Linked DNA regions of Caenorhabditis elegans. The protein of the gene in region 1 purifies or fractionates together with the protein of each later gene. This does not show direct contact. Each region holds a gene or a part of one and is shown on either strand. Other genes may lie near its edges.

The links.
Region 2: the proteins of tra-1 (region 1) and nxf-2 purify together in Caenorhabditis elegans (affinity purification with western blotting, with the first as the bait; one study listed by BioGRID). This does not show direct contact.

The regions. Positions count from the first base shown.
Region 1 is NC_003281.10:11,187,830-11,203,580, reverse strand, and holds the start of tra-1 (Sex-determining transformer protein 1), read left to right. Parts: upstream 1-8,379; 5' UTR 8,380-8,517; coding exon 8,518-8,538; intron 8,539-8,620; coding exon 8,621-8,716; intron 8,717-10,478; coding exon 10,479-10,539; intron 10,540-11,649; coding exon 11,650-11,766; intron 11,767-15,751. UniProt on the Caenorhabditis elegans protein: Plays a major role in controlling sexual phenotype. Terminal global regulator in a well-characterized cascade of sex-determining genes. Promotes female development. Interacts with tra-2 to promote spermatogenesis.
Region 2 is NC_003283.11:14,412,147-14,427,162, reverse strand, and holds nxf-2 (Nuclear RNA export factor 2), read left to right. Parts: upstream 1-9,327; 5' UTR 9,328-9,367; coding exon 9,368-9,679; intron 9,680-9,726; coding exon 9,727-9,813; intron 9,814-9,861; coding exon 9,862-10,008; intron 10,009-10,058; coding exon 10,059-10,121; intron 10,122-10,167; coding exon 10,168-10,299; intron 10,300-10,350; coding exon 10,351-10,415; intron 10,416-10,461; coding exon 10,462-10,873; 3' UTR 10,874-11,016; downstream 11,017-15,016. Other genes in the region: rrsr-1 (Ribosome biogenesis regulatory protein homolog), read left to right, coding at 2,159-2,259, 2,314-3,051, 3,105-3,267; rpoa-12 (DNA-directed RNA polymerase subunit), read left to right, coding at 3,865-3,991, 4,040-4,157, 4,219-4,333; pas-1 (Proteasome subunit alpha type-6), read left to right, coding at 4,545-4,616, 4,666-5,002, 5,061-5,392; dhs-22 (DeHydrogenases, Short chain), read left to right, coding at 5,736-5,824, 5,873-5,999, 6,123-6,712, 6,768-6,963; set-31 (SET domain-containing protein), read right to left, coding at 7,139-7,341, 7,388-7,559, 7,606-7,749, 7,796-7,913, 7,960-8,072, 8,121-8,414, 8,462-8,770, 8,909-9,067; C15H11.11 (Cytochrome b-c1 complex subunit 10), read right to left, coding at 11,017-11,155, 11,201-11,349; nxf-1 (Nuclear RNA export factor 1), read left to right, coding at 12,151-12,277, 12,326-12,717, 12,767-12,946, 12,997-13,083, 13,132-13,241, 13,348-13,384, 13,439-13,507, 13,564-13,757 and 3 more. UniProt on the Caenorhabditis elegans protein: Involved in the export of cellular mRNA to the cytoplasm. Plays a role in the nuclear retention of unspliced mRNAs.

The DNA.
Region 1 (15,751 bases):
GCGGAATCATACTTGACGCACATCTTAGTCGCTACCGTAACCCTGACGTTAATTCAAAAAGTCTTCAAACTTGGAGGTAGCATGGGAGGCACTGTTGGACGTATTGCTACCTAGAAGTGTACCTGCCTCCTTGGGACATGTGTACCTCCGGCTCATCTTCTCCTCGGCTTCTGCCTACTGCACTGACGGCTCGCACATGTGTTCTTAGTTTTTAAGTGTGTCAACCCCGGAGTGTACCCCCACACACACACATATATATACACGTTTCAACAATCCGCTCTCTGCTTCTCTACGCATCTTTCTATCTCTCGGGACCCCCGAGCAGGAGGGGCCTCCTGCTCAGTTTCTCGCCCGCCCGCCCCTTGGCGCCGAGAACCGCCGCTGCAGCCGGCTGGCTCTTGGCTCCGCGGCGGCGGCGACGTCGATAGAAGTAGAAGAAGAGCCTGAGGACATGAGCTCGCTTGAGCAACAGCAGGAGTTCTCTATCTCTCTTTCTTTTTCCTTGGAAAAAAAGAGAAATGGGAGAGAGAGAGGACGCCGTCCTTTTTTTTCATTTCTCTCTTTTTTCCTCTTCTTCTTCGGGATTTCTTTTTTTTTTGCTCTTTGTGCATTGGACGGGGTGGGCTACTGTATAGTATGTACATGATACCATATTTCAACTTTGTTAACATTTTAAATGATTTAAAAATTTAAGATTATTTTTAATATAGATTTTTAGATACATGTTGGTTACCGTAATACCTTTATGAATTGGCCAACTATCAGAACCAGGGGTGTGCGGCAAATTTGCCGGATTCGCCGTTTTCCGAATTTGCCCAATTTTGTGGAATTTGAATTTTGAAATTTGCATCCATTTTTTACTCCAGAAATCCACATGTACATGAGGCAAAAATTGGACGAAAACCAGTGAACTTAGCTTTTTCCATTAATTTTGGCAATTTTCGAGCTCCAAAAAAATTTGCGACGACCACGGTAAAATTGCCAGTTTTGTTTTGCCGAATTTGCCGCACACCCCTGATTTGCTCCTCTGATAATTTAAAACATGGTGCATGTAAAACCAATATTATTTGATTTTTTCTTCTCAAATTTAATATCAACATATGTTTTCAGTCATTCTCTTGAATTGCCTTCATTACTCCCATACACACCTTTTTTCTAAAATTTTTCTCTGCGTCTCTTACCCTCTCGCACTCGCATCACTAAAGTTCTAAAAATACTAGAACGTGTGTGTGTGTATGAGCGATACGAGAGTTGCATTTCTTCATTTCTTCTATCCAATCACTTTTTTTCCAACCGGGATTGAATATGTGTATGTGTGGACCCTAGTTTAATGAAATGGGAATACCTGGCGCCACCAGTCAAATGACATTGGGGCCTTTTTTATTAGCCTCCGGAGCAGTTGGTTAGGTTGTGATTCAGTATGAATCGATGGAGAGCAATTAAGTTTCACTGGGGGCTAAGGTTCGTGGCCGTAGGGGTGAAGAACTCGACTATCGTTTATTTTTGGTGACCGAGTTTCCTCCTTTCCCGACCAGTGGCTTTTGACACTACAAAAAAAGTCGGTGGCCGAGTTTTTTTGCGGTCACGTGGTGAATTTCAGTAATTTTTGTCTTTTTTTATTGTCGGAAAACTGTAATTAATTTATAAATTAAAATAAAAATAAAACAAATAATTTTTAAAACAACATTTTCAAAAAATTTCTAAAACATCTGAAAAGTTCAAATTTTCCAAAACATGGCCGTCAAAAAGTGAAAACTCGGCCACCGGTTTCTTCGCAATATTTTTGCTCTATTTTTTTAAAAAACATTTTGGCTTGATCTACGTAGATCTACAAAAAATGCGGGAGAAGACACGCAGAGTTCTCAACTGTTTTCGCATGGTTAAGAACGTGCTGACGTCACATTTTTTAGGCAAAAAAATCCGGCATTTTCTGTAGATCAAACCGTAATGGGTTTTACTTCAAAATCACTGAACTCGGCCACCCAAATTTCCTAGTCCGTAGGTCGACAGAATTTTAAATTCTGTGTTCGCGCGCCGGGGCCAGAACAGCACAAAAAACAGCAAAAATTAGCATAATTTTTCGTTCTCTTGCCTCTTCTCGTCCCAAATAGTGCAACTCCATAAAAAAACCCCCGATATATTTCATGGAGACTTAGACGAATCTCTGTCTCTTTCCCTCTCTCTCTCTGTGTCACCAGGAGGACACATTTCAGAAAGAGAGGGCAACAGCAACCAAAATAAAAAAAAAAACGTCGTTTTCTTCTTCTCCGTTGCAGGGAGAACCCATAAAATGTGTGCGCCTCCGTCGGTTTTATTGAGAGGGGCGGTATTTCCAGTGTTCTTCTTTTTTTCTTCTACATCCATGGAAGAGGAAAGAGCTCAGCGAGGGGGACGGAACGCGTGCTCTTTTTCTCTTTTTTTTTGGGGGCTTCAACATTTGTAGGGAACTATTCAGTCAGAAGCTTTGAATTCTAGAGAAAGGTTTATTATTGAAAACTGCTACCGTAGTCAAATTTTAGAAAAAAAGAGCAATTGCAAATCGACAAATTGCCGGAATAAAAATATCCGGCAAACCGGCAAATCGCCGGAATAGAAAATTTCCGGCAAATCGGCAAACCGCCAAATTCTTGAATTACGGTATTTGCCGAAAAATTTTGGCAAATTGTGGTTTTGCACATTTTTTTTTCGGAAATTTCAGAATTTCAAATTTAATCGGCAAAATTGTACGCATCCTATGTATCGAAATTTCCAGCAAATAGGCAAATAGCCGGAATTGAAAATTTCCGGCAAACTGGCAATATTTTTTGGAAATTTCACAATTTCAATTTTCATCGGCAAAATTGTACGCATCCTATAAATGTTCCTACATCTATTTTGAAAAGTAAGCAAATTCACTGAACATATCTAGAGAGAAGGGGGAAACAATTTCAAAAAGGCAGTTTTTTTGTGTTTCAGTCTTCCAAAAAATCCTCTACAAACTTCCGGCAAGTTGATATCCGGCAAACAGCAAATCGGCAAATTGCCGGAATTGAAAATTTCCGGCAAATCGGCAAACTGGCAATGTGCCGATTCAAAATATGCATTGTAGAGTATTCATTCTATACTTTCTTTTTTAAATTTAATTCTGACCTTAAAAATTCTGGAAATTTTTTGAAAAAGGTGTTAAAGCTATTTATTAAAAAAACCCCTTTGGTGTGTGTTTCTTATTACTCTAATGGATTATTTTATATCATACCATCCGTGAAATATGACAGATATTGCTACAAGGAGGATCTTATGAATAATACATATTACGGGTGCCGCCGCCGTGCCAGAGATCTTAAGCTAGTTTTTTTTTCTTATTTTTTTTTATTTCAAAAATTTGAATTTCCCGCCATAACTTTTTCTCAAAAAATTTGAAATTCCCAGCTTAATTTTTTAAAAGAAAATGTAACTTTTCCGCAATAATTTCCGTAGAAATTTTTAATCTTCAAAATTCGTTTCAATACCTGCTAACAATTTTTAAGAGAAATTTGAACTTTCAGACAAACAATTTTTCTCAGACGATTTGAATTTCCCGCCAAATTATTTGTAAGAAAATCTTAGTTTCCCGCCAACATTTTTTTTTAGAAAATTTGAATTTCCCGCAAATTTTCTTTTGGAAAATTTGAATTTTTCACCAAGATTTTTCTATTAGACAATTTTAAATACCTGCCAAATTTTCTCTCAGAAAATTGGAATTTCCCTCCAAAATTTTTCGTATTAAATTTGAATTTTCCGCAATAATTTTCTTAGAAATTTTTAACTTCTCGGGAAAATATTTTTTGTCGCGAAAAAAAATGGCCGAGCTTCTCCCATGTTAGTCCCTCTTTTCCCTTTTTTCAAATATTAAACCTAAAGTTTTCTAAATTGACGATAATGTGTACTACTACACTTTCCCTTTTCTTTTTCCCCCAACTTTTTTTACCTAAACCTTTCTTCATTTGTGTGGCTATTCTTTAAGGAAGATACACAGAACATGACGAAGAAGAAGAAGAAGAAGTCAGCAGTCTTTTTTTTAAGGATCGGGTGTTTAGAGACGCAGGTTTGGTAAGTGATGGTGTAATAAAGAAACGAATGATACTGCCATTCAAAATCCCAAAAACCTCCTGGACTGTTATCTTTTGTAGCTTGATTAGTCTTAATTCGAAATTGTAAAATGATGAAAATTTAAGAATAATGTTCTAGAAGTTTCTCGGATTTTCTGAAACATTCTAGAGAATTTGAGATTTTTTTTGAAAGAATTCTAGACCTACCTAGAACATTTGCAATTGTTTAAGCATTCTTGAAAAATGATAAGTATTTCTGAATTTTTTGTAATTTTCTCAGAACTTCTTAAACTCTCTGGAAAATTCTGGAACTTTGCCAAATTTTTAGAAAATTTCTAGAAAAGCCTGAAACATTTTTGTATTTTTTTTAACGTTCTGGATCTTTCTAGAGCTTTATCAATTTTTTTGGAACTTTTTGCACGTTTATCAGAAAAAAACTTCTTGAACTTGTTAGAGTTTTCACCAATTTTCTGAAACTTTCTAGAACTTTCTCAAATTATTTTGAAATTTCTGAAAGTTTTTAGAGACTTTTTTTTTATTTTCAGATAAAAAAATTTTTTTTTTGGATATTTCTGGAGTTGCCTCGAACTTTCTCGTTTTTTTTTCAACTTTCTAAAAGATTTTAGAAATTTTACGATTTTCTGAAGTTTTTTAGAAATTCTTGATGTGTCAAAAACGTTCTAGATTTTTTTTTCGAATTTTCCGAAGGTTTTTAGAGATGTTTTGATTATTTTCTGAATTTTTAAAGATTTCTAACAAAAATTTTGGAACTTTCTAAATATCCTTAAAACTATCCCGAAGGTATTCTATGCGTAATCTCCCAATTATTACACCATCATTCCAAATCTGCGTCTCTAAACACCAGATCCTTTTTTAAAAAACTTAGATTAGATTGCTGATTTCTTTTTCGTGTTCTATGTATCTTCCTAGAAGAATAACCACAAGGCATAAAAAAGGTGTATATTTAAAAATAAATTAGGAAAAAGAAAAGGTCAAGTGTAGTATAATATACGAAATAGGGGTGGTCGGCAAACAATGTTTTCCGGCAAGTCGGCAAATTGGCGATTTGCCGGAAAAATGGCAAATTGCGGTTTTGCCCTTTTTGTGGAAGTTTCAAAATTTCAATTTTCATCGGCAAAACTGTACGCATCCTATGAATATTCCTACATCTATTTTGAAAAGTAAGCAAATTCTACGAAAATATCTAAAGAAAGCGGGTAAAAATTTCAAAAAGGCACAGTTTTAAGTGTTTCCGTCTTATAAAAAAATCCTCCGGCCAGCACACGATTTTTTCGGCAAATCGGCAAATAGCCGGAATTGAAAATTTCCGGCAAGTCGACAAACCTGCCGGTTTGTCGGTGAGCTATCGATTTACCGAAATTTTCGGCAAGTTGTGGTCTTGCACATTTTTTTTGAGCATTTCCGAACTTCAATTTTAATCGGCAAAACTTGATATCCGGCAAACGGCAAATTGCCGGAATCGAAAATTTCCGGCAAAACGGGAAATCGGCAGTTCCCCAAAAATGAAAAGTTCCGGTAAATCAGCAAGTCGGCAAATTGCCGTCATTGAAGATTTCAGGCAAACCGGCAAATCGGCAAATTGCCGAGATCAAAACTCCCGGCAAATCGGCAAATTGCCGAGATCAAAATTCCCGGCAAATCGGCAAACCAGCAATTTGCCGATTTGCCGAATTTGTCCACAAAAAATTATTTTCCGACCTGCAATTGCCGCCCACCACTGATATAAATCTACAGTAACCATTGCTAAATTTCTCGAATGCTGAAAGTTCGGCTAATAGCTAATTGGCTGGCTGGCTGGTTAGTGGCCGAACTTTTTCCATTCACCACGGCCTCGTATTCAAGCCAAGCTTCTTCATTTCAAAACCTTTCCCTCCACATGCTCTCCGTGCTTTTTACTTTGCCCCCCCCCCCCCCCCTTGTCACTCGTCACTATACCCCCTGACAGTGTTCTCGCCGTGATAAGAAGCTTCTACTTTCTCTCTGAAATTCTATGATCTGATTAGCTCTCTCTCTCTGTCTTTCCATCTACCCAACCATTTCGTCGCCGTTACTTACCACCATCAACAGCAGACCAACCAAAAAAAAAAGAGAATGTTGCGTTCTTCCACGCGCTCGCTCGCAACAAAAAAAGGTATGGGGTGATAAGTAATTTATACTTTTTACTGATGGCCGAATCGGCGGAGAATCGATACTGTAGCCTCGTACCGTAAGAATTTCTTGTTTTGAAAACAGAAAATGGTTCAGAAAAGGAAAAATACCTTGTCAAGGACAAACTTGTAAGCATCCGCCTGAGAAAACATTAATCCCGAAGGCCACTCACACTTTCGTTTTCGGAACTGGTACCTCTAATCTCGAAAATTTCGTAAAAATCGAATTTTTGTGGATAAAATTTTTTTTCTGCTTCTTTTCTCCGAAATTAATTTTTAAAAAAAAGCAATTTTCATGTTGAATTGGAAAAAAAAACATTCTAAGATTTTTTAGTCGAATTTAACCTAAAAACTAAATACTCAAAAATTAAAAAAAAAAACTAATTGCCGTTCGGAAACGGCAAATCGGCAAACCTTGCCGATTTGCCGGAAATTTTCAATTTCTCCAAATTGCCGATTTGCCGTTTGCCGGATATCAATTTGCCGAAAATTTTTAGACAGATTTTTTATAAGACGGAAACTCGTAAGACTGTGCCTTTTTGAATTTTTTTCCCGTTTTCTTTAGATATTTTCATAGAGTTTGCTTACAATTTTCAAAAAATTTCCGGCAAATCGAAAAAATTGCCGATTTGCAGGAATTTCTCATATCCGGCAATTGCCGATTTGCCGGATATCAATTTGCCGGAAACTCTTAAAACTGTGCCTTTTTGAAGTTTTTCCCCGTTTTCTTTAGATATTTTCATAGAATTTGCTCAAAAAATTTCCGGCAAATCGAAAAAATTGCCGGTTTGCCGATTTGCCGGAATTTTCATTTTGCAAAATGCCAATTGGCCGTTTGCCGATAAAAAATTGTTTTCCGCCCACACCTGATTTGAATGTTAAAAGCGGAAAAATATCACACAAACGCGATTATTAGCGATTTTTTTCCGCGAGAAATACGGTACTCGGTCTTGGCACGAAAATTTTTTTCTTGAATGCCAAAAGGTTTTGCGCCTTTAAGAATTACTGTACTTTGAAACTTTCGTTGTTCCGGTATTTATTATCAATTTTTGAAAATGTATTATTTATTTATTTAAAAACTAACAATAAACACTGGGCAAAAAAAAAACTCCAAAAAAAAATGAAACTACCGTATTCTTTAAAGGCGCACACCTTTTTGCATTAAATTTCAAAATTTGGCGAATAATAAAAAAAACTACAGTCGCCTCAAAGAAAATTTAGAATATTTTCGCAACATTTTTTTCCATTTTTAGACGAAATTTACTCGAAAATTCCAGAGTTTTTCAAAAAATCCCAATTTCGCCTTCCTACCGTAGTCCAGCGCGGGAATTCAAAATTCTCACGTTCCACCGGTCTCCCTTATCAATATATATCATCCTCCCAATCACTTTCACTGGTTACTTTTTCAATTTCCCTTTTTTTGCGAATTTCCGTTCGCGAAAACGAAAAAATTCCAAAAAAAAAGACCGGTGGCTATAGATACAGTACTATTCCCCCTCTTCTCAACATTTTTATTTTTTTCTTACTTTTTCTCGGCGCTGGCGCCTAGTGCCCGCGGTGGTTTTGAGACTTATTATCAGTTTTTTATCAGTTACGCCACCAATGTACGGCGTCTCTCTGTCTCGTATGCTATTTTCGCATCGCCAAGGGGGTTAGATGTTCTTCTCTCCTATGTATATGTGCTATCAGTCGAGTACTGAAAATTGTGCACGGTTTTTCAAAAAAAAAAACCACCCAAGCCTTGACTCCTTTTTTGTCGTTGTTTTTTCTGGAAAACTCAAAATATTTGTTCTCCATGTTTTTAGCGGGTCTCACCACGATCGTGCCGAGACCCACCCGACAATTAATTTCTCTGCGCCGTTATTTGAAAATTTTTGGCTCCAAACTTTCAAATTGAAAAAGTCATGTATTTTTATATTTAACAGTTCCCAATTTTTTACTGATTTTCACTGAAAAATTGGCGAATTCTCATTCAAAAAGTTTTTAAAATTAATCGAGCCTTACTGTAGTTTTAAAGGAACATGCAGTAATTCTTGCGATGGGTCTCACCACGAACTCTATTCTTTGAATTTTAAATTTAAATTTAAAGATTTTCTTCTCATTTTTCTGCCTAATATCCTTCAAATCTATTGATTTTTTTTGCAGAGAATGTGCCAGGAGGCTCGCCACGTCATCTTCTAAATAATCAACACTATTTGGAGCATCAAGAGCCCCCGCGTCAAGCAATTTTCAACGCAACTCTCCAAATTCAACAGGAAATCAAAAACAACGAAAACGGCGGCATGATGGCCCCCAGTACTGAGGTTAATTCGAGGAATTTTGAATTAAAAAACTAATTTTTACAATTTTCACATTAAAAATTCGTTAAAAATCAATTCTCTCCAGGATCCCGATACGGTTGTCGAGGCTCAACGTCGTGGAAGCTTCTCGAAGAAAAAGAATGCAAATGGGTGGAATAAGGTGGAGCTTGTCGATCAGTGTGTAAGTTTGTGAAGCTGAAAAAAAAATCCATAAAAATCGAACATTTCTAGCGAAATCCCGGTATCTCTACCGCAAAATTCGTAGATTTTTGGAAAAATGCACATTTTTCAGACAAAAACTTTTCGAAAAAGCAGATTTATCACAAAAATTTGAGAAAAATCGAATTTTCACGTACCAGGAGTGGTTTTCCGGAAAAATTCACCGAAATTCGCTTAAAATTGAACTGAAAACGTCCGAAATTTCAATTTTTTGTTGATTTTCCCACTTTTTAAGCTTTTTTTTCAAACCTAACTGTATTTTAAAAATTTAGCCTTATTCAGAATTAAATCAGAATTAAAGAATTAAATTCAAACTTAAAAATTTTAAAAATTCGAGTTTGACAACATGTTGAGCTTGAAAATCGCAGTTTTAGGCTTAGGCTTTTAGGCTTATAATTAGGCTTAGGCTTATGCTTAAGCTCAGGCTTAGGCTTAGGCTTAGGCTTGGGCTTTTAGGCTTAAACTTAGATTCAGGATTAGGCTTTTAGGCATAGGTTTAAGCTTAACCTTAAGCTTAGGCTCAGGCTTAAACATAGGCTTAAGCTGAGGCTTAGTCTCAGCCTAAGGCTTAGGCTTAGGCGACGGATTAGGCTTAGGCTTAGGCTTTAGCATAGGCTTAGGCCTAGGCTCAGGCTCCGGGGAAGAGAAATTCCTAGAAATTCCTTTAAAAAACCCAGGAAAAACGACAAAAATCTGAAAAAAATGGGGCTTTCTGTAGTCGGGTCAAAAAAATGCATGTCTAGGCGTCTAATTTCAAAAACACTTCCAAAATATTATTTCCGGCAATTCCGGCAAGTACCCCGCACCCCTGAATCAGGCCTGCCGGTTTTTTTTTTCAAATTTTGCTCATTTTGCTCAAAAAAAAAACAGACCGAAAATTGAACATTTTTTCGGCGGCACCCCGGACCTTTTTTCTGCGGTCCTATAAAAACACGTGGTGCCAGACTGTCCCATCACGTTTTGTTGATCTACGAAATTGCGGGAATTTTTTGCCCAAAAAAATAACACGTTCTTAACCATGCAAAATCAGTTTAAAAGTGTGCGTCTCTTTTCCCGCATTTTTTGTAGATCAACGTAGATCAAGCCGAAATGAGACACTCTTACAGCACTTGTAAAAATATAAAAATCGATTTTCCCTCGAAAATCGCCAAATTTTCCCGCCAAAAACTTGTCGATTTTCTCGTCTCTGGGTTGTCCAACCGTGAGAATTTATATTTTTCTTCTTCTTCTTCTCAATTTTCTCAGCTCTACATGTTTCTCATTTCCTTTTTCGGGTTCATATCACCACCGTTACCTCGTCTAGACCGCCCGAATATTTCTGCTCCTCTGATCATCGAACACTGCTCCGCCACTACTTTTTTTTCGCTGGGCGCTGTTGCTGCTCCTGCCACGTCGTTTTTTTTTTCCGCTCGACTGATAAGGAGTTGTTCTATCCAAAATTCGAGAGACAGAGAATTCCGATAAAAATACATACATATTATTTTGAAGTTCTCGTGCACTTTTGCTCTTACACTGGCACCGCCGAGCACACCCCCGCCGCGGTTGATGAGGAGGTCAGAAAAGTATAATTTGGGTCTTAGCACGCCCTGAAAATGCAAAAAAATATGGATTTTTTCAGTCAGAAGCTCATTTTTTAGGGGATTTTATCTAGAAATTCCCTAAAATTTTGGGCCCTTTCTGGATTTTCTCATGAATTTTTTAAATCAATTTTTACAATTTTCCAGGCCAAGCAAATGGGTTCGGAGGACAAACAACCTGGTGGTGGCGACGTGAAAACCGAAAATGGTACGGGAAATCGCGCTCCGTTGAGAATGACCGCGCGATTCGGCGGCAATTTGAATAGTTTTAACGAAAAAAAATGCGGAAGAAATTCGCATTAGAGCGCATTTGCACCCACATTTTTTCTTTGAAAATCGCCCGATGGAGTCGGATGGACCACCCGTTTTCAGCTTTTCTAGAGAAATTATTCAGTTTTAGACCAAAAAATTCCACAGAAAATAGAAAATTCCACAATTTATAAATATACATTTATTAGAAAAAATTTTTGAATTTAAAAAAACGGGCGATTTTCGACTCTAGACACCGCCTTTTTTCAAAAATTTTTGTAATTTTTGGGCAAAAATGGCTCGGCAAACCGAATTAAAAAATTTCCGGCAAATTGGAAAATTGCCGGAATTTAAAATTTCCGGCAAATCAGCGAGTTGCTGAAATTTGAAATTTCCGGAAAATCGGAAATTGAAATTTCCTGCAAATTGGAAAGTTGCCGGAATTTAAAATTTCCGGCAGATCGACAAATTGGCAGAATTTGGAATTTCCGGCAATTCGGCAAATCGCCAGAATTTGGAATTTCCGGCAATTCGGCAAATCGCCAGAATTTGGAGTTTCCGGCAAATCGGAAAATTGCCGAAAGTTGAAATTTCCGGCAAATTTGCGGAATTGAGGATTTCAGGCAAATCGGGTGAAATTGGCAGAGTTGAACATTTCCGGCAAATCGGCAGAATTTGGAATTTCCGGCAATTCGGCAAATCGCCAGAATTTGGAATTTCCGGCAATTCGGCAAATCGCCAGAATTTGGAATTTCCGGCAAATCGGAAAATTGCCGAAAGTTGAAATTTCCGGCAAATTGGCGGAATTGAGGATTTCAGGCAAATCGGGTGAAATTGGCAGAGTTGAACATTTCCGGCAAATCGGAAAATTGCCGGAATTTAAAAATTTCCGGCAAATCAGAAAATTGCCGGAATTCGAAATTTCCGGCAAATCGGAAAATTGCCGGAAGTTGAAAAATCCGGCAAGTTTTCGGAACTTAAAATTTCTGGCAAATCGGAAAATTACAGGAATTTAAAATTTTCGGCAAATCGGCAAAAATTTCCATTTTTCACCACTTTTTTTTTGCAGATCCATCAAAAAACGGACTCGGCTCGGCAACAAGTAATTTCATTCAAAGCTCAGTTCCCCCGTCACATCAAACTTTGAGCAATCCTCTGCAGCTGAGCCCACCGGCAGAAGCTTCAGGTCAGTTTTTTTTCTTTTTTTCTCAGAAAATATATATATCTGTGTTTGATAATTCTAGGGCTCATGGGAGAAAAAAAAAAGAAAAAATGCGTGAAATTATAGGGTCACTTTTGTGAGAAGTAGCTAAAGTACATCGGAACTTTTAGCTTGAAAAACATTTTTTTTTTTTTTGAGAAAAAAAAAATTAATTTTAAATTTTCTGTAATCCTCCATTTTTATTATCATAGAGTAGGAAAAGTACACCGTGAGCATGAAATTTGCTGGAAAAATCCGAAAAATCCACTTTTTCTTCATTTCCCCATTTTGTACTCCTCTCGGACAAGTCAATTCTGCGAAATTTGAAAATCTGGAGATTTTTTCAATTTTTCGCAATTTAAATAGCTTGAAATGATGGGAAAATGCGATGAAAACATGCTGTTAGCTCCAAATCAGGGAATTTTCATAATTTTCCAGATTTTAGCTTTTTGTACTCCTCTCGGACAAGTCAATTTTGCCAAAATTTGAAAATCTGGAGATTTTTCGATTTTTCGTAGAATTTTCGTTATTCTAACTTTTGTAAAGTGCACCAGAAGCTTGAAAATTGCTCAAAAATGAATTTTTGACCATTTTGCATTGTGTACTCCTCTCGGAAAAGTCGAATTTTTGGAAATGTAGGAATTTTCCAATTTTTTGCGGATTTTGCTCAAAAATGCTTCCAAAAGATCTATACGAATATCAGCATCGTCAAAATCGCATCATCACGTCACTCCTCCAATACGTATTGCTGTGTACTCCTCTCGGACAAGACAGTTTTTTGAAATTCGTATTTTTGAGATTTTTCAATGACTTCTAGGTGTTCAGTCGCTGAAATTTGTAGAAAATAGCTCGAAAAACCATTTTTACAACAATTTATCCGACAGTTCTCTTCGTGTACTCCTCTTGGACAAGCTGGAATTTCGAAAAACTCGACTTTTCTTTGGATTTGCACCATTTTTAAGGAAAATTTTAAATTTGTCGCTCACGAAGTCTTCCCGAATCTCGAAGCACCTGTGTACTCCTCTCTGACGAAAATCTGTGGTTTTACCAATAACTTCTCCACCCCCCGACTCACTAAGTACCCCCATTAAATAGGGTGCTCAGGCCCCCCGAAATTCCATTATCACCAGTGACACGTGTGTTTTATATGTCTCACCGAGCTCCGCCGCCGAAACATGAGGTCGCCTGAGAGGACGCCTGTTCGCCGAAGTGATTTCTATCTGTGTGTGTTGTCGCCTCCCGGAGGGTCCATGAGTATCATCAAGAGGGCGAAAAATGAGAAATGTTCCTTCGTTTTTTTTTGTGCTGCACATTTTGGTGATATGCTGTCTTAGAGCACACACACACACACAGGGAGAAGAAGAGCTTGATTGATTGCCTGTTCTACTTGAGCCTAGGCGAGCTTCTGATGATGCTCTCTTCTACCCCTTCGGGTGCCCCCAGACTTTGTTTAGTTTACAATTCATTTTAGAAACCTCTACTCTCAATTTTTTTCCCATCATCATTTCATCCAAATTGTTTATAAACCGCCCATTATCAAATTTCTCGTCGATTGGTTTCCTAGCGGGGGGTACTGTAGAAAATGGACACACGGAGAGATAAGGAGAATTGGGCAACTTTTAATGGGAGAGAAAAGTTGCGGAATTTGAGGGCTGGTCGGGATCAGGGGTGTGCGGCAAATCTCAAAATTTGCCGAGCTCGGCAAATTCGGCAAATCTCTTTTTTCAATATTTGCCGAGCACGGCAAATTCGGCAAATTTGCCGTGCTTAACAAACTCGGAATAATTTTATACTTTTTGATGTTTTTTTGAGCACCAAAACTACTGAATTCTTAACACTCATCTGGTTTCTGAATAAGTTCCGTGTAGTCTGTCTGCTTAAGCATCAAAATAACTCAATTTTGTGTCATTTTACTAAATTTTTGGCGAAAAAATCAATGGTCTTAGTCAAAATTGCACTCTCAATTTTTTGACGTGTGCGGCAAATTTCGAAATTTGCCGAGCTCGGAAAATTCTGCAAATGTACTTTTTTGAAATTTGCCGAGCTCGGCAAACGGCAAATTCGGCAAATTTGCCGCACATTCCTGGTCGGGATACTGTAGCTCAGAATTCTGGCTCCTGGAGGTACTGTAGCTCAGAATCGCTCTTGGCACCGGGGGTACTGTAGCCCAAAATCGCTCTTGACAGGAGTACTGTAGCTCAGAATCGCTCTTGACAGAAGTACTGTAGCTCAGAATCGCTCTTGGCAGGGGTACTGTAGCTCAGAATTGTTCTTGGCAGGGGCACTGTAGCTCAGAATCGTTCTTGACAGGAGTACTGTAGCTCAGAACTGTTCTTGACAGGAGTACTGTAGCTCAGAATTGTTCTTGACAGGAGTACTGTAGCTCAGAATCGCTCTTGGCAGGGGCACTGTAGCTCAGAATCGTTCTTGACAGGAGTACTGTAGCTCAGAACTGTTCTTGACAGGAGTACTGTAGCTCAGAATTGTTCTTGACAGGAGTACTGTAGCTCAGAGTCTTAAAAGCTATGTTCTCTTGAAGGAGGTGCAGCTGGGAATCTAGAAGGCCCAGGAAAGCCGTAGCTTAGAATCCGAAAGATCAGACTTATGGGTCAACTTTTCCACGTTTCCTTATGGAAGCTGAGAAAAATCCAGTGAAATCCTTAAAATTACACTGATTTTCTATAGTTTTCCGGAAAATCGTCGATTTTTTTGGAATTTAGGAATTTATTTGAGTTTGGACATTTCCAAATGTCCACCGAAACGAAAATTTGTAATTTATAAAATCAAATTATCAAATTTCGGCAAATCCTAAGTTTTCTACGAGAAAATAGACGACAAAGCCCAAAAAATGAAGAAATGGCCTGCGTTTTTTCCAGCTGAAACAGTGGCAACATTTGGTACCGCCCGGGATTCTTCTGCCCAGTGTAACCTTTCACATCAGTAGTCTCTTCGTTTCACAAAAAAAGGTTCAGACACAAACCCTGGAGATAAGAAAGTGGATCGGGGCGACTTTTTCTGAATTTTTTTCTTCCGAAGAAGACGGACGACGACGCCGGGTGGTGTTACAGTGTAAGGGTTCTCCTAATCAAACATCTCACCGGAGCAATCGATTGTGATCTATCTCTCTCTCTCTCTCTCTCTTTAAGTTTTGGTTTTCATCAAATAAAACCAGTTTCCCTCGCCAAGTCTCCTGGCGATTGATGGACTGTAACCAGTCACCCGGAACCTGGTTAACTTCTTCTCTCTCATTTCCCTTTTGCCGTGTGTGTTGCCATAGCGAGAATGAAAGTGAAAGTTGATTTTTTTTCCTTCAATTTTTCTCTGTTTCTGCCATGGCGGTATACGGTACGACCCCCGCCGATTACACATTGGGAGGGAAACCGAAATTTGAAAAGAGATTTTTTGGGGGGAAAGAAGAGGAGGAGCACGGCCACCCGGCACGCTTATCAATTTTCGCCTCCTCCTCGCCAGCCTCGCCTCTCGGGTAGTACCCTTCACCAATCACTGATAACCCATATACATGATTGGCACGACAGTTTTTTAACGAGTTGTGCGGTAGGAGAAGCTGATGGACGACAATAATGCGGACATGATTATGGGCCTGATGAGCTGGTATTACACACAAGGTGAGCGAAAAGGAGTATTTTTTCTTTGTCAAGCTGTGCTGAGATGAATCCTAAGGATCCTTGGGATCCTTCTCGAGATCTTAAGATCTTGTCTCTGATCCGATTCTCCAGCAAGTCCTCCGGAATGTCCTTGGGATCTTTCTGTTCTGAACGTAGCTCTCGATCCTTGGAAGAATCCTGGATTTTTCGGCTTTGTTGGTCCTAGGGATCCTTCATACAGGAAGTTCTATTGGAATTCGAACTGGTTAGAATCATTGGCTTCTAGAATCAGAAGCGTTCACTATAACTCCTGAAGCTCAAGGATCCTTGCAGGGATCTACAAGCTTCGGAGTTCGGTAGCTCAG
Region 2 (15,016 bases), on another chromosome or scaffold:
ACTCGTAGAGGAATCAAGTGTTTTTCAAGAGATTTGAAGTATGGAAGTCTTGAAACTTATAATCGGGGCGTAAAGATAAACTATCTTGTTCTAACTTTTTCATAAATACCACCTCCCAGTTTATGCGCTTGCCTGAATGCCTACGTCTGAACGCCTACTTGCCTGCCTCATGCCGTTCGCCCGATTTTGTCCGATATTCTCACTCTACAAGATGAACCTGAAATATTCCAGTTAGTAAAGTAAATTTTGTTATTTTTGACACCTTGACGTGGAAAACATTAAAAATCTTCTTGAAACACTTGTACACAGTAAAAATTATATTAACTTATAACATTCAGTTGCCAGCCTTCAATAGAAATACATAAATTTAAAGTTGCAGCAAATCAAAAAATGCTTTTTTCCGTTAAAGGTCATCAGTTGAGATCTCTAAATACACTTATTGCACATAACCAAATATTGCACTTCCAAGCAATTTTAGATTTTTCAAAATATTCAGTCAAAGTTTTGGTAAAATGCCAAATCTTCCAAAATTGACTTTTTGAGAGATTCCAGAATTTCCGAGCATTGCTACAAATTGAAATGTTTCGGTGTTTGAGTAGGAACAATTAAAACGTAATATAAAAATCGTAGAAAGAACATTTTTTGGTCGAATTCCAAAACTATGATGAGCTTTCACCACTTTTCAACTCAAAAAGTTAAATTTTTTTGAATAGTTGTACGCTTCTTTTTATCTTTTTAGAACAAATTTCAAAACAATTTCCCAACGATACCCCACCTTGAAGATCATTCACACAGTAAGAAATATGCCAACAATTACCATTTTCCCACGTGTTCTCTCTCTCTCGAGATCTCTCCTGACTTCAAAGCCATACCAATTTCCGGTAATTCAGTGTCCATATTCCTATGTCATCTGTCATTTCAATCTCGGCTCATCAACATCATAATACAATGACCTTGTAGTTGAGGATCTCCGTTCGGCTTCCGAAACAAAAGGCAGATGTATGGTAAGTAGTTGGGTGTTACATACTCTCTCCAAAGTGTTGTTATTGATGTTACACCCTTTCTTCTCAGTAATTCATCAAAACTCTTTTCCTCGCTAATTTGTTTGATGATTTATGAGGGAAGCGGGGTGTGCAAGTTTCGCGCATTTCGGCTTTCAACACAGAAAAATCACTAATTCGTTGATTTATTTTTATGTGAACTTTTGTCGTAACAAGTATCAGGCGGCATCGTTTTTGTGTTGAAAGTTACCGTAAGATTCAAGGGTTTCATTTCGATGTATCCTAAATCTGGGACAATAGAATTTTATGGACCACCCGGTTAGGAGTAAACAATACCCAATAAAATTTAATAATTGAGCTGCCTTCTGCGGTGGAATGTATGCTCCATGATGACATTTGTATCTTTGAGAAATATGTTAGGGATCCAAATCATCAAAATTACTAACTATGTATATGGTGTATTGTTTCTATATTTCTCATTGGAAATTTGAGCTGGAACAGAGAATTTTCTTCATTTTTATTTATAAAGGGCGCTGGATAATTACCGAAAAAGGGAAATTTTTGAGCCTCAAGCATTTTAACCTATGAAAGATAGTTTCATAAGAGTTTTCAGATTAATCGAGGTTCTTGAAATCATTTAATCAGGAAAATACCCACATTACTCACAGAGATCCGCTTTCAGACGTTATGTTCTCTCTGATGGTCTGATTCTACTAATTTTAAATGTAATTTATTTTTTAATTAAAAGCTTGTAGTGGTTTGTTTTACTTTACATAATGTGCTCACATTTTCTTCGTATTTTGTGAGAGATGACGAAAACTACAATAAAAGAAAAATGCGTGCGGTGGCGTTGCAAAAACCACGCGCACCACTTGCAATAGAAGCCACGCCCTTATTTCCTTTGTTTTATTTTTCGTTTTCAGCTCTTTCAGTTCTCTTTTCAAATGATTTACCTGTTAAAATTAGTCAGAAAAATTAGATTTCGGTTAAAGTTTTGATTTTCTTTATAACAGTTATACGAAAATTGGTGCCGATTGCTGTTTAAGCTTCAGTTCTGAAAAGCTGTTTCTATAATACATTCGCACTGTCTTTCCCGTTCAGTTGCAGCGTTTTTCTACTTTCAGTAGTTTCAGTTAATACTTTAATGTTACAGAGAAATGGCTGACAAATCGACGGAGGTTGAAAAGGCCATTGACCCAATCATTGACTTGGGTAACCTGCTGTTTATTGATCGAGAGCCAATCCAAGGAGACGCAAGGTATATTATAGAATTTCGTTATTAATTAAACCAGCAAATTTCATAATTTTTCAGTGAAGGACTCGAGGAACGTGCTAGGAAGAACACACAACTCCTTTTCAACAACATCTGGCAGCTGGAGCAAAAAAGAGTAGAAGAGGCTATTATTGTTACTCTCCCTCCCGCCACTTACCGTCTTCCTCGTGAGAAACGATTGCCAGAGAAAAAAGAGCCGACGAAATGGGAGAAATATGCTGCTGAAAAGGGAATTGAGAAGAGAAAGAAGGATAAGAAGGTGTTCGATGAAGCGACAAAGGAATGGAAACCGACCTATGGATACAGACGTGGAAATGATGATACCAAGGATTGGCTGATCGAAATTCCTGACAACGCAGAAGATCCGAACAAGGATTTCTTTGCTGAGAGACGCGAAAAGAAGAAGGAGAGAGTTGCAAAGAACGATATGCAGAGAATGAAGAATCTTGCTCGTCAGATGAAGACAACAGTCAAGAGCGGTCCATCGACAGAAAAGATGATCGGAGTAGGAGTCGATGCCAAGGAAAAATCAAAGCAACAAGTTCGTTTCGCAGTGGATCGTGCAAAGCTTGCCACAGCTTCCGCTGGAAAGTTCCAGGAAGGATTGAAGGGAGAGAAGGCCAACGTGAAAACTGGCAAGAAGAGAAAGTTCGAAGCCAACGAAGCTCCAGTTTCTGGCGAGAAAGAACGTGCTCTCCAGATTCTTCAACGAATGAAGTCAAAGAAAGCAAAGATTGTTGAAGAAAAGGCTGCTGCAGTTGCTGGACCTTTGAGAGAGTGAGTAGTGAGAAAATTAGGCCTTTATCGTTATTCAATTCAATTAATTTCAGGAAGAAGGAAAAATCGGAGAGGAAAGGTGCTAAAGATCAAACAAGACAGAAGAGTCAGATTCACAGACAACAGTGGTTCAAAAACAAGGTCGACGGCAAGAAGAAGGGTACTGGTGGTGCTGGAAAGAAGGGAGCCAACAAGGCCAAAGCAAGAAAGGGATAATCTATGTTCTTGTTTTTTATTCAAATTTGTTGATTTTGATTCGTTTATTTTTTTTGTTACTTTCTTTTTTATTCATCAAATTTTAACATTCAATAAATAAATGTTCTGTTAAGTAGAAAATGTTACTTTTCTTCATGAAATGATGTTTTAGTTCTCGATTGTGAATTTACCTGGGATAGGTTATTTTATTAAATTTGTTCAGAGTTTTATATAATCCCAATTATTTTTCTCTGGCATGTTTTTTTTTTCTCTGAATGTAAGAAAGCCAACATTGATTCGCGATTTTCAAATCTATGAAATTAATAGGCGGAGTTTTCTTTGCCAGATCCAGCAACTCGGCCATCTTTCAAACCAAGATAAGTGATTTTAGATCATTTAACAATTTGCCTGTCAAGACTTAATATTTTCTCAACTAGTAAAGTGCTGTTCCCATTTACTCAGCAATCTGTTTCTTCGAAAGTCACAAATCGGTAGTGTCTCAATTTCCAAGCGTGCTCCATCGCACTCCCTTTAAATTTTGTCATCTTTTCGGCGTTCTCATCATTTTTCAACCTTCAACAATATATTTTAGTCGAAACTTCATTAATTCAGCTTAAAATGGCTTTGAACTTCCTCTCATACGACGATGACTTTTGTGGATATTGCGGCGCCATCTTGGAACTACCGGCACAGGCTCCAGCGACGGTCTCCTGCAAAGTATGCTCAACTCGATGGGCTGTGAAAGGTTTCCTGCTTTTAAGATGAATATATTCTAATTTTAAAATGTTTTCAGAAAGAGTAGATCAAGTGGTTAGCCGTGTCGAAAAGATCTACGAACGAACGGTTGCTGATACAGATGGAATTGAAAATGACGAGTCAGCGGATGCTGTTGTTGATCATATTTGCACAAAGTAAGAATATTTCCGGGGATTTTGAAACTGAGAAAGACTGAAACTAATTTCCAACTTTAAGGTGCGGTCACTCAAAGGCATCATATTCTACTATGCAAACGAGATCTGCAGATGAAGGACAAACAGTATTCTATACATGCCTGAAATGCAAGAAGAAGGATATCGAATATTCTTGATAACCTTTCGAGTCTTTATTTTTCAAATCAGATTTTTATTTCTGTTGTTATATATTGTTGAATTTTTGTTTTTGTTTCCTGAATATTCCATTAAGTTTCTTTTTATTCGTTTTTTTTTTCATTTTATTGGTACACTGGTCAATAACCAGATTTCCTATCTTTATCGGTTTTCAAATTAATGGTTGATTTCCACTTTAAAATTTATGTTTAGATGTCTCGTGGAAGCAGCGCCGGATTCGATCGTCATATTACCATCTTCTCTCCAGAAGGACGTGTTTATCAGGTTATAAAATAATAGTTGAATGTTTATAACTTTCCATGCTTGCTTCCAGGTCGAGTATGCCTTCAAAGCAATCAACTCTACCAATCTGACGGCTGTCGCAGTCAAGGGAGCTGATGCAGCTGTCATTGCCGTTCAAAAGCGTGTTCCAGACAGTCTCATCGTCGCTGATACCGTCACTTCGGTTTATCAAATCTCTCAGTCTGTTGGATGCTGCGCCATTGGAATGATCCCGGATGCTAAATTCCAAATCAAGCGTGCACAGGGAGAAGCTGCTAGCTGGAAGTACAAGAACGGCTACGATATGCCATGCGAGCTTCTCGCCAAAAAGATGGCTGATCTCAACCAGTATTACACACAAAATGCGGAGATGCGTAGTTTGGGATGTGGTTAGTAGAAAAATTTCCGAATTCTCTAACTTCAATTATTACAATTACTCAATTTCAGCTCTTTTGTTCATTTCCTACGATGACGAGAAAGGACCAGAAGTTTATCGTGTTGACCCCGCTGGATACTACCGTGGTATGAAAGGAGTATCTGTTGGAGTGAAACAACTTCCAGCGACCTCATTCTTGGAAAAGAAAATTAAGAAGAAGTCCGAATTGACATCCACAGAAGCTATTGAACTCGCCATTGAGGCTCTTCAGACTTCATTGGGAATCGACGTTCGTTCCAAGGATCTTGAGGTTGTCGTTGTCACCAAGGATAACTCCAAATTCACCAAGCTAACCAGCGATCAGGTCGAACATCATCTCAATCAAATCGCCAACCGAGATTAAATATTCATCGACCTTTGTATTTAAATATTTCCCGTTTCAATTGATCCGGTACCCAAATTGAATTAAATACCTGGTTTCCCTTTTCTAAATTTATTTATTGTTTTCTTTACTCCCTGTTTCTCGGTCTTTTTTATCATTGCCCTCCGCCCCTTTCTCTTTTGAAACTATTTATTTATCACTAAAAATCATGATAAAATGATTTTTGAAACACTTCATATTATTCATGTTGACTTTGATGGTGGTTTCGCAATCCCTGTTATTTATTTTTTAGTACGAATTCATTGAAGAAAACTGCAAGTTAAAAAAATTATACATTCAAAGTTTTAACAGACCATCTATTAAAATGGATGGTGCAGATGCTGAAGAACATGGAGGATTCCTCTTTTTTGTGCTCGCTTCATCCGTAGTTTTTATTGTGCTCTTTTTCACAAGGTAATCGATATTTCACGATAGCTAAAACTATAATCTAAAATATTTCAGACGTTACTTTAAAGGAGGTCAATTCAATGAAAGAGTCTCTGCAAAGGGATTAGTAGCCGTTGTGACCGGTTCTAATTGTGGAATTGGATTCGAGACAGTTCGGGAACTTAATTTGAGGAAAGCTGATGTGAGTTACAGAACTAATTGCATTGTTATAATTAATTGCTAATTACTAATTACATAAATTGCATTTGTTTCTAAACAATGCTATCCATATTTAAGTTATCAAGAATAATCTAATTTTTTCCAGGTCTATATGCTGTGCAGAAGCGAAGAGAAAGCCAATGAAGCGAAACGAATGCTCGTGAGACAAGGATGCGATGCCACTCGTCTTCACTTCATTGAATGTGATTTGACAGATTTTGAAAGTGTACGACGAGCTGCCAAGGAAACTCTCGAATCGACTGACACCATTGATATCCTTATCAATAATGCTGGAATCATGTTTCAAAGCAAACACGAGCAAACCAAGGATGGTCATGAGAAAACTTGGCAGAGCAACCATTTGGGACCATTTCTGCTCACCGAACTTTTTCTGCCAGCTGTTAAGAAGTCTTCCTACGCTCGAATCATCAATGTTTCATCTCGTATTCATTTGAAATCCGAGAAAATTAATTTGGCTACTGTAGATGACAAGAAATCGTTTGGAATGATGAAATCGTACAGACAGAGCAAGTTGGCAAATGTTATGCACGCAAGAGCCTTGACTAAGGAATTGAGAAAGGACGGAGCCGAACACGTGACTGTTAACTCCCTGCACCCAGGAGTTGTTAATACCGAGCTCGCGAGAAATACCATTTTGAATACACCAGGAATCAAGCAGATTACAGCTGTTTTCCGGTAAGCCAAGCCAAATTTCCACACTTAACCTTAAAATAAATAAAATTAATTTCAGTTGGTTCCTCATGAAAACCAGCCGCGACGGAGCTCAAACTTCAATCTTCCTTGCATTGGGCAAAAAGATCGGTGGAATCAGTGGAAAATACTTTGCCGATTGCAAGTTGACCCAAGAAAACCCACTAGCCTTGGATGATCAGGCCTGTCAGGATTTGTACAATTATAGCTTGGAATGTACTGGCCTCGCCAAGTAATGTGCCAGCGCAGCTACAATAATTTCTCTATTAAGAATTCATATCAATCCCATTGTAAACTTTAACAAAGGCTTTATATTCAAGTATTTAAAATTAAAATTTCATTGAATGAATAAATATGTAATACATAACAAAACGAAAAACAAAACTAGTTGAAAACATTTTACAGCGAGTTTCACTCGAGGAAATTACCATTTTTTATCTTCCAGATTTTTGGTGACTCTACCAGAGACATGCCATTGAACGTCGACGTCAGTTTCTCCTTCTCGGACTTCTTCTTCGCTGACTGGTCGATATATACAATCTCTCGGCACTTGTGCTCACATTTGCACTGCACGAAGTCGATATCCTTCTCGAGGAGATGGAAGAGTTTGCCGTCTGAATGAGGACATTTATCTAGGAAAACTAATTATCAAGAACGTACCTGGAGCAACAACCTTTGAGAAGTATTCCTCAACCTCTTTTTTGAAAGCCTTGAAATAATCAAGGGTGATCACATATCCATTGCCTTCGTCGAGGGGAAAACGTGAGTAAATCACGAGATCAGGAATGTCGTTTCCTGATTCAACCAAACGAACATTGCATGTTGGATTACACTGGATATCATCAAGTTATTAGAATAGTTAATTGAATAAAACTCACGCTGTGGGGAATGAATTTTGAGAAGTCATAGAACTCTCGACGATCGAGGCACAAATCTGTTCCTGGAATTTCGACGAAAGAACTGAATGCAACCTCTTTTCCTTCAGTTCGCAAAGATTCTCGAGCAACTTCGGCTGGTCGAATCTGAGATGAAATATTATACAATTACAATTACAGTTTTTAAAATTACCACTCCAGTCATGACCATCAGAGGAACATTGGGGAGACTGTACATAGCTGATAATATGTACCAGCCCGATCCGGGTTCCTGTCTCATTTCAAGTGGTATGGAGAATCTCGAGTTCACTCTAAATAAAAATAATTAAAATCTGAAACACTTTTCAAAACACATACGCCTTGTTGATTCTTCGCATTCCCTCGTACTTATTCTCATCAACCTCCTTCAGATATTTTGGCTGTTGTGATTCGTCTTTGGCAAAATACAACCGGTCGATGAATGGCCGAACCTGAAATTTGTGAATTTAAGAAACAGAAGAAACATAATAAATGCTCACATTGTTGAATCCAGCTTTTATACCCTTCCGAGGGAAAAAGTGAGGAAAATTTTCACGATTCTTATACATTTCTTCTGTAACTGGTTCAAACAAGATGTTTGGCAATGGAGGCGGAGGGAAGAGGACTGATTGCTTCTTAGTTGGGTAGAAGATCTTGACGAAAGGATAATCTTCGAAAATCTGTCTCTGATATTTCATCTCCTTGTCATACTGAATATGACTGCTGTTGACTCTATCAATTTGTGGAACGAGGAAGGAGTGTAGAAGATGCATCTGGTTATGCTCTTTGATGTACTGAAAATTCGATTTTAAACCAGTACGGGTAAATAGAAAATACTCACTTTCAAATACATAATCTTTGCTCCGATGTTGTCTCTCGTGACAAACTTGACCGAAGATCCGAAAACAGTGGCTTCCGCTACGATTGATAAAGGTATCAAAGTGTTCGTGAAAAATACTAAGTCACTAAGCGCGGTATCCAGATTTCGGAGGAAAAAGTCAAGATTCGTTACGTATGAAGATTTCAATGTCCTTGCAGCATACCCCATAAGCTTCTCGGTGCACACAAGTCGTCGTTCAGCTTCTTCCGTGTCACCACCATTCCAGTTCGTCCACTTGACTGTATATTGAATCTCCCGTCCTTCGATTCTCTGAGATATTGTAATTATGGTGGTTTGAAAACAATTTTCTTGGCAACTACCTTTTGAGTTACACGAACAAATCAAAATGTATTTGAATACAATTTTAAATTTCACAACATTACTTGAATAACCCTATAAGAAACACACCGAGCGAACGATATCTTGAACTTCATAAAATTCGGTGTCCACCTTGCCGGTATTTTGGGTGGAGATTTTGTCACATTTCCTTGACTTGGATGCATTCTTTTTGATCGCATTCTTGGACTTTCGCGATTTTGCTTTCTTTTTAATATCCTTCGTAGTCATTCGTGGTGCTTTTTTCTGCACTGCAGCCTGAAAGTTCGTTTACCGGTTTATTTGCTTTTTTTTTTCGATTTAAACATACCTATTTTTTCGCAAAAAAATTGAGGATTGATTTTTTAGCTAAAAAATAAAAAATAAATATTTGGGCTAAATTAAAAAATTTAGATGATTTCTGCAAAGGATGAGGAGGTCTCGCATGGATTGACACACCTTGCGACTACGGTAGCTGTAGATTTACGAAGTGATTTTCTTGTCTTCAAATCGACTTCAATTTTTCAAACTAAATGCTCACTTTTTAAGATTATGCGTGGACAAAATCGGCGAGGCTATCGGAATATCGAAGGACGGCTCAGCCTTTCATCCCATTCATCGCATTCTTCACCACGCCAGACACATGTCACAAACTTGAGGCCAGCTGAAATCAAGGTTGTCCAAGATGTCGTGGATGGGTGTTATGTTGCGACTGACGATGTTCTTAACCTGTCGAACTTTTCAAAAAACACAGAATTTGTCGAAAGGGACATGTTGATGTGCCTCACGAAGACAAGAGTGATGTCGGTAGTTCTACAGCATATTGGGTACAAATATCCTCGCATTTCCGGAATCTCATTCTCGGTTTAGATTAATTTGTGAAAAAATAATTAATTCCATGTAATTTTCAGAATAATCGGCTCTGTCACTTGGACCATCTCTCCTCTCTCTCGAGCATATCCAAGTTTCTAAAATTCCTCGACTTGAGTCATAATCAGGTTTTAAAAGTTTTTGTATTCTTAAATTTCATAACTTTTTTTTCTAAGATTTCGTCAGGAGAAGAATTGAAGAAGTTAGGAACGATTCCAGTAGAAACTGTGTTTTTCGAGGGAAATCCAGTCTGCGAGAAGTTTGTGCAATGTGCCGAGTATGCCAACTTTATTCAAAAGACATTCCCAAAATGTTCAAATTTGGTAATTCACGAATATCCTAACAATTATTTCAATTTCTATCTAAATTGTAGGATGGAATGGAAGTCGAACCAAAACCAGATCACAATAGAATCGAGCAGATAATTCCATTCAGGGTGATACAGTATATTTCTACATTCCCGAATCATCTAATTATTTTAGAATGGATACTATGGCAGTGATGAAGTTCGTACTCTTGTCGAAGAATTTATCATCACATATTACAAAATCTACGATGGCGCAGATGGACAGCAGACAAGGAAGCAACTTCTGGATGCGTACGACACAAATAACGTGCTGATTCTTGCATTTTTTCAGTAGTAAATATAAACATATATTTTTCAGTCAACATTCACGCATACAGTTGTCTGCTTGTGGGACCCAATTAAATTTGTCATGTATCCGGACAGGTACCGTCTGAAGTCTTAAGGTTTTAATAATTATTTATATTTCAAGTGAGAGCTATCGAATGTACCTGAGAACTTCGCACAATGTTCTGAATCAGGAATATTTTGCCGCAAATCGGGCCTCCAGAATATCACACGGTGCAATGGATATCGTAGTTGCACTTTCGAGACTTCCTGCCACAATTCATCTGATGGATACATTCGTAGTTGACGTGTTCCTTGTTTCGGCAACACTTCTCGGATTCACATTACATGGAACATTTCGTGACGGACCATCTGCGATAAAGCCCGAGAACACTGAGGAACATGATAATTATTTTACGAGAACATTCATGGTTGCTCCAAGAGGCGAAGGAAAAGTCGCCATTGTTTCCGATCAGCTGTTCATTAGCTCGATGTCAAAAAGACGCGGCGATCAGTACCGCATGCTAGTGGAGACAGCAACGGACATTGACCAGTGAAAATTATATATTTTCATACATTTAAACGGCATCCTATTTGTATTTTTATGTCTAGTTTCGGATCATATCTTGTTACCAACACCTAGCATGTTTTTTTTTGTCTCAACATTTTACAGTTATTTGTTAATCTTCATTTTTAAAAATTATTTGTATGGAACAATGTCTAATCGGTCTTTGTAGCTATCAATTTTCAAATTGACCTGATCAAAAGTGGCAGCACCAAACCAAGCAGCTGCGAATCCAATTGAAGCACTCGCTAGGTAGATCGCGATGATTCTTTTTCTGAAACAATTCCATTTTCAAGAGACTTTTCGTGGAAATACCTACCCCGGTTTCCTCAAACCGGGAAATACGGGAACACGGGAGAATGTGAATTCGGCTGAAGTTCCGATGTCTGGCAACATCTTCCGACGTTCAAAACGCGTCGGAATAGGCGCAATATTGTCAAGACGCGAATCAGGGGTGTACTTCTTCATATTCTTTTAGTTGTAAGAACAATGGAGAGAGACGGATGTTTTGGAAATTGTTGGCTGCGAAGATGGGAAAAGAGTGGTGAGCAAACAAAAATTACGGGGAACAAAACGTTTTCTCGTATTTTTACTGCTATCTATATAGCCACTGAATTTGCAGAAATATGTATATTTTGTTGACAGGTGACAGTGAAATATTGAAAATTTACTCATATATTACAGTAGTATCTTTTTGCGGTTACTGTAGTCGGCGAAATTGAAAATCACTGTTCAACGATTAATATTTTGCATGATCGATTTTTATCATGCCTCTTAAGTGTTACTATCATTCTAACCGAGAATTCACGTCATTTTCTGACTCGCATGAAACATGTTTGCCTAAAACATTTTTTATTCTTGTTTATGTCGTCAAATTGGGGGCTCGTCTGCATTTTTGCGTAACGGTGTTTGCACAACCGATAAAAGTCACGAGATTTTTTTTTGCATAAATATGATTCAGTTTCACCAATTTTCGAATTGCCGTTCTTTGCTTAGTGTTCCAAATGTGAAATTATAGTTTTAAAATCTGATTCATTGAGTTTTCTGATTTCCGCAAAACTAAATTATCTCCCGGCTGGAATGAGGCAGCCGTCCCAGTTTCGCAACACTTTCGAAATGAGTAAAAATTTAACTTTTCCTTGTCTATTATAACTTTTCATGTTCAATATTGCTTTCTCTTGAATATCATATTTATTTGTGTTTCACCTACACCTTTAATTTAATTTTTCGATACCAGTTTTCCCTCGATGAAATACAAATCTTTCAGATATGAATCGCAAAGGGTTTGGAGGGCATCGTGACGCGAAGCAATTGTCACGTACAAAGAATCGTTTTGCTCGACTTGACCCAGACACTCAAAGCAGATATGAAGACGACGACGAGCCTGCCGTTCCAGGTAACGCTTAGATTTATTCATATCCTTGCCAACTTATTTTTGTTTCAGTTCGTGCAAGCCTTACTTCTGCCAGTAGCCGTGGTCGTGGAGGATCATCACGCGGTTTCGGACAATCGGCTGCATCCATCGCCAACACTGGAGTTCGTAATGCTGACATCGTCTACAAGTGCCGTGCTACTGGAGCTGCCAAGAAAGTTGATGCCAAGTGGCTGATCAAGCAGCTTAATCAAATAATCGAAAATTTCAAGCCACTTCTCTGGACTGATAACGCCCGTGGAGACTTTGAATGGTACGTCCGCGACGAGGACACTGCTTCAACTATCCGAGCCAATAATCGTCGTGTTGTCCACAAAGAAAGTGGCACACGCGTTGAGTTTTACACTTCCAAAGTTCCAGCCCCATGGATGAAACTGAAACGAGAGGAAATTGAGATCATTCATGTAAGCCTCAAAATTTATTTGTCAGGTAATCATTACAAACATTTTTCAGAGAGTAGTCGACAAACGTCACAACGCCGAGAATCGAGTATTGGATTTATCAAACTTCCACGAAGACGAAGAGTTCAAGGCAAAGGATATGATGATGAATTTGACGAAAGGAAATGTCATGCTCACAGTTCTCGATCACATTGATGATAAGTACGGAAACATTGTGGCTTTGTCGTTATCAGTGAGTCATGCTCTTAATATTCTCTATAAAAGTAATTTTTATCATTTCAGAACAATCGCATCCGTCATTTGGACTACGCTTCAGCTCTCGTGTCAATCGCTAAGTTCGTTATGGAGTTGGATTTGAGTCACAACCACGTTAGTTCAATAGATCTAGCTATTTTTTATTCAACTTTTGATTTACAGATTTCCACTGAAAAGGAGTTAGAGAAATTCGCCGGATTGCCAGTCGAAAGATTCTTCTTTGAAGGAAACCCAGTCGTCGAGTCATTCACACAGAGGGCAGCATATATCAGGTTACATTATCTGAATGATTTTCAGATTTTTTATTTAAATTTCATTGTGTTTTCCTCCTTGTTCCCTATTTTATTATGTTCATTAACCCCAAACCTACCACTTCAGCTATATTCATCAATCATTCCCGCGATGCAACATGCTGGTAAGTTATTTAACATTGAGCCAAGTTCGCATCTCGGAATGAAACTACTTTCAGGACGGAGTCGAAGTGCAGCCGCTGGTTGTTGGACCGGATCTCGATATTCATGACGCAATGCCATTCAGAGTAAGTTCCTGCGGATTTAAATCTCCCTAGAACCTTCGTTATTCTAATATTTTTAGGCTGGATATTACCCAAATCCACAGATCCGAGTTCTTGTCGAGCAATTTGTGACTTCATACTTTGATTTCTACGATGGACCGGATGGCCAGAGAACTAGAAGAAATCTCCACAATGCGTACGACGCTGATGCTTCAACATTCTCGTTGACAATCGAACATTTGCGTGGATCTTCTCATGCACGACACCACAATGAGTAAGGATATTTTAAAATGCACAATATTATTATATTTATTGATTTTCAGCGAGTGCTTTGCACAATACGCTGGTGTATCACACAACGTGCTGAAACAGGAGCGATTCGCTCGTCATAGAGCTTCTCGTTCAGCGCGTGGAGCCATGGATATTGCAGTTGCTCTCTCAAAACTGCCAACATCTAGCCATATGAGGGACACATTTATTGTCGACGTTTTTCTCCAATCAAATGATCTTCTCGGATTCACAGTTCAAGGACTATTCTGCGATGGTGATCTTACACAGACCCCTTCACCCAGTTTCTTCAGCAGATCATTTTTGGTGTCTCCGAGAGAGAATGAGTGGGTTACACTTTTGTATCTCAAACTTATACTCATGATTTTCGTATTTTCAGCTCAGTTGCAGTAATCTCTGATCAGCTTTTTATCACAGTTGCCTCGTTGGATCGATTAGAAAAGTTCAAGAAGCTGTACGATCAATCTATTGCAAATGGTGCGGCCGTGGAACAAGTTAGCGCCGTTCAAATTGCACAAATCGGAGTTAACGGAATGGGATTCGACGGAGCACCTGCACTACCGATTCGTGAGGAAATGATCAAAGCGATGTGCCAGTTCAGTGGAATGATTCCACCATTCAGTGAGAAATGTCTTGCAGACTGCGCTTGGAACTTTGACGTATGTTAATCATTTCTCAAAGCATTTGTTAAAATTGAAGCAATTTCAGTTCGCCTGTCAGAAGTTCAACGAAATAAAATCATCAGTTCCAGCAGAAGCGTTTGCTCATTAAATACTGTTCTATCGACATCTTCAGTATGCTTAGTTCTTCCTGATTTACTCTTTTTTTATCGATCTTTCGTTCAATTTTCTTCTGTTCGCCCTTTTTAGTTTTTAATATTTTTCTGCAATTTTTCATCCCTTCCCCTCTTTCGAACTAGCTCCTCCAGGTATTTCTACAATTCGCTTTAACGTTAACCTTTCTAAAATTAGGCCTCACAAATCTCAATTGGTTCGAGTTTCTTTCAACATGTTAATAGTCACTGGTGAATCGTATAGTGCTGTAAACGGAACTGCCAATGGTATTTAAATTTTTCATTAGTTAGAATTAGTTAACACGTCGAATGTCGCTCCCACTTCCATCTTTCACCGTCACTGAGCTTTTCACACTCTTTAACACTTCCTCCTAATTCAAAAAAGGAGTTCGCCGAAGTGTGTGTCCTGCAGAAGCTCTTTGGCACCATTTGGAGTGACGTTGGGCGTGTGT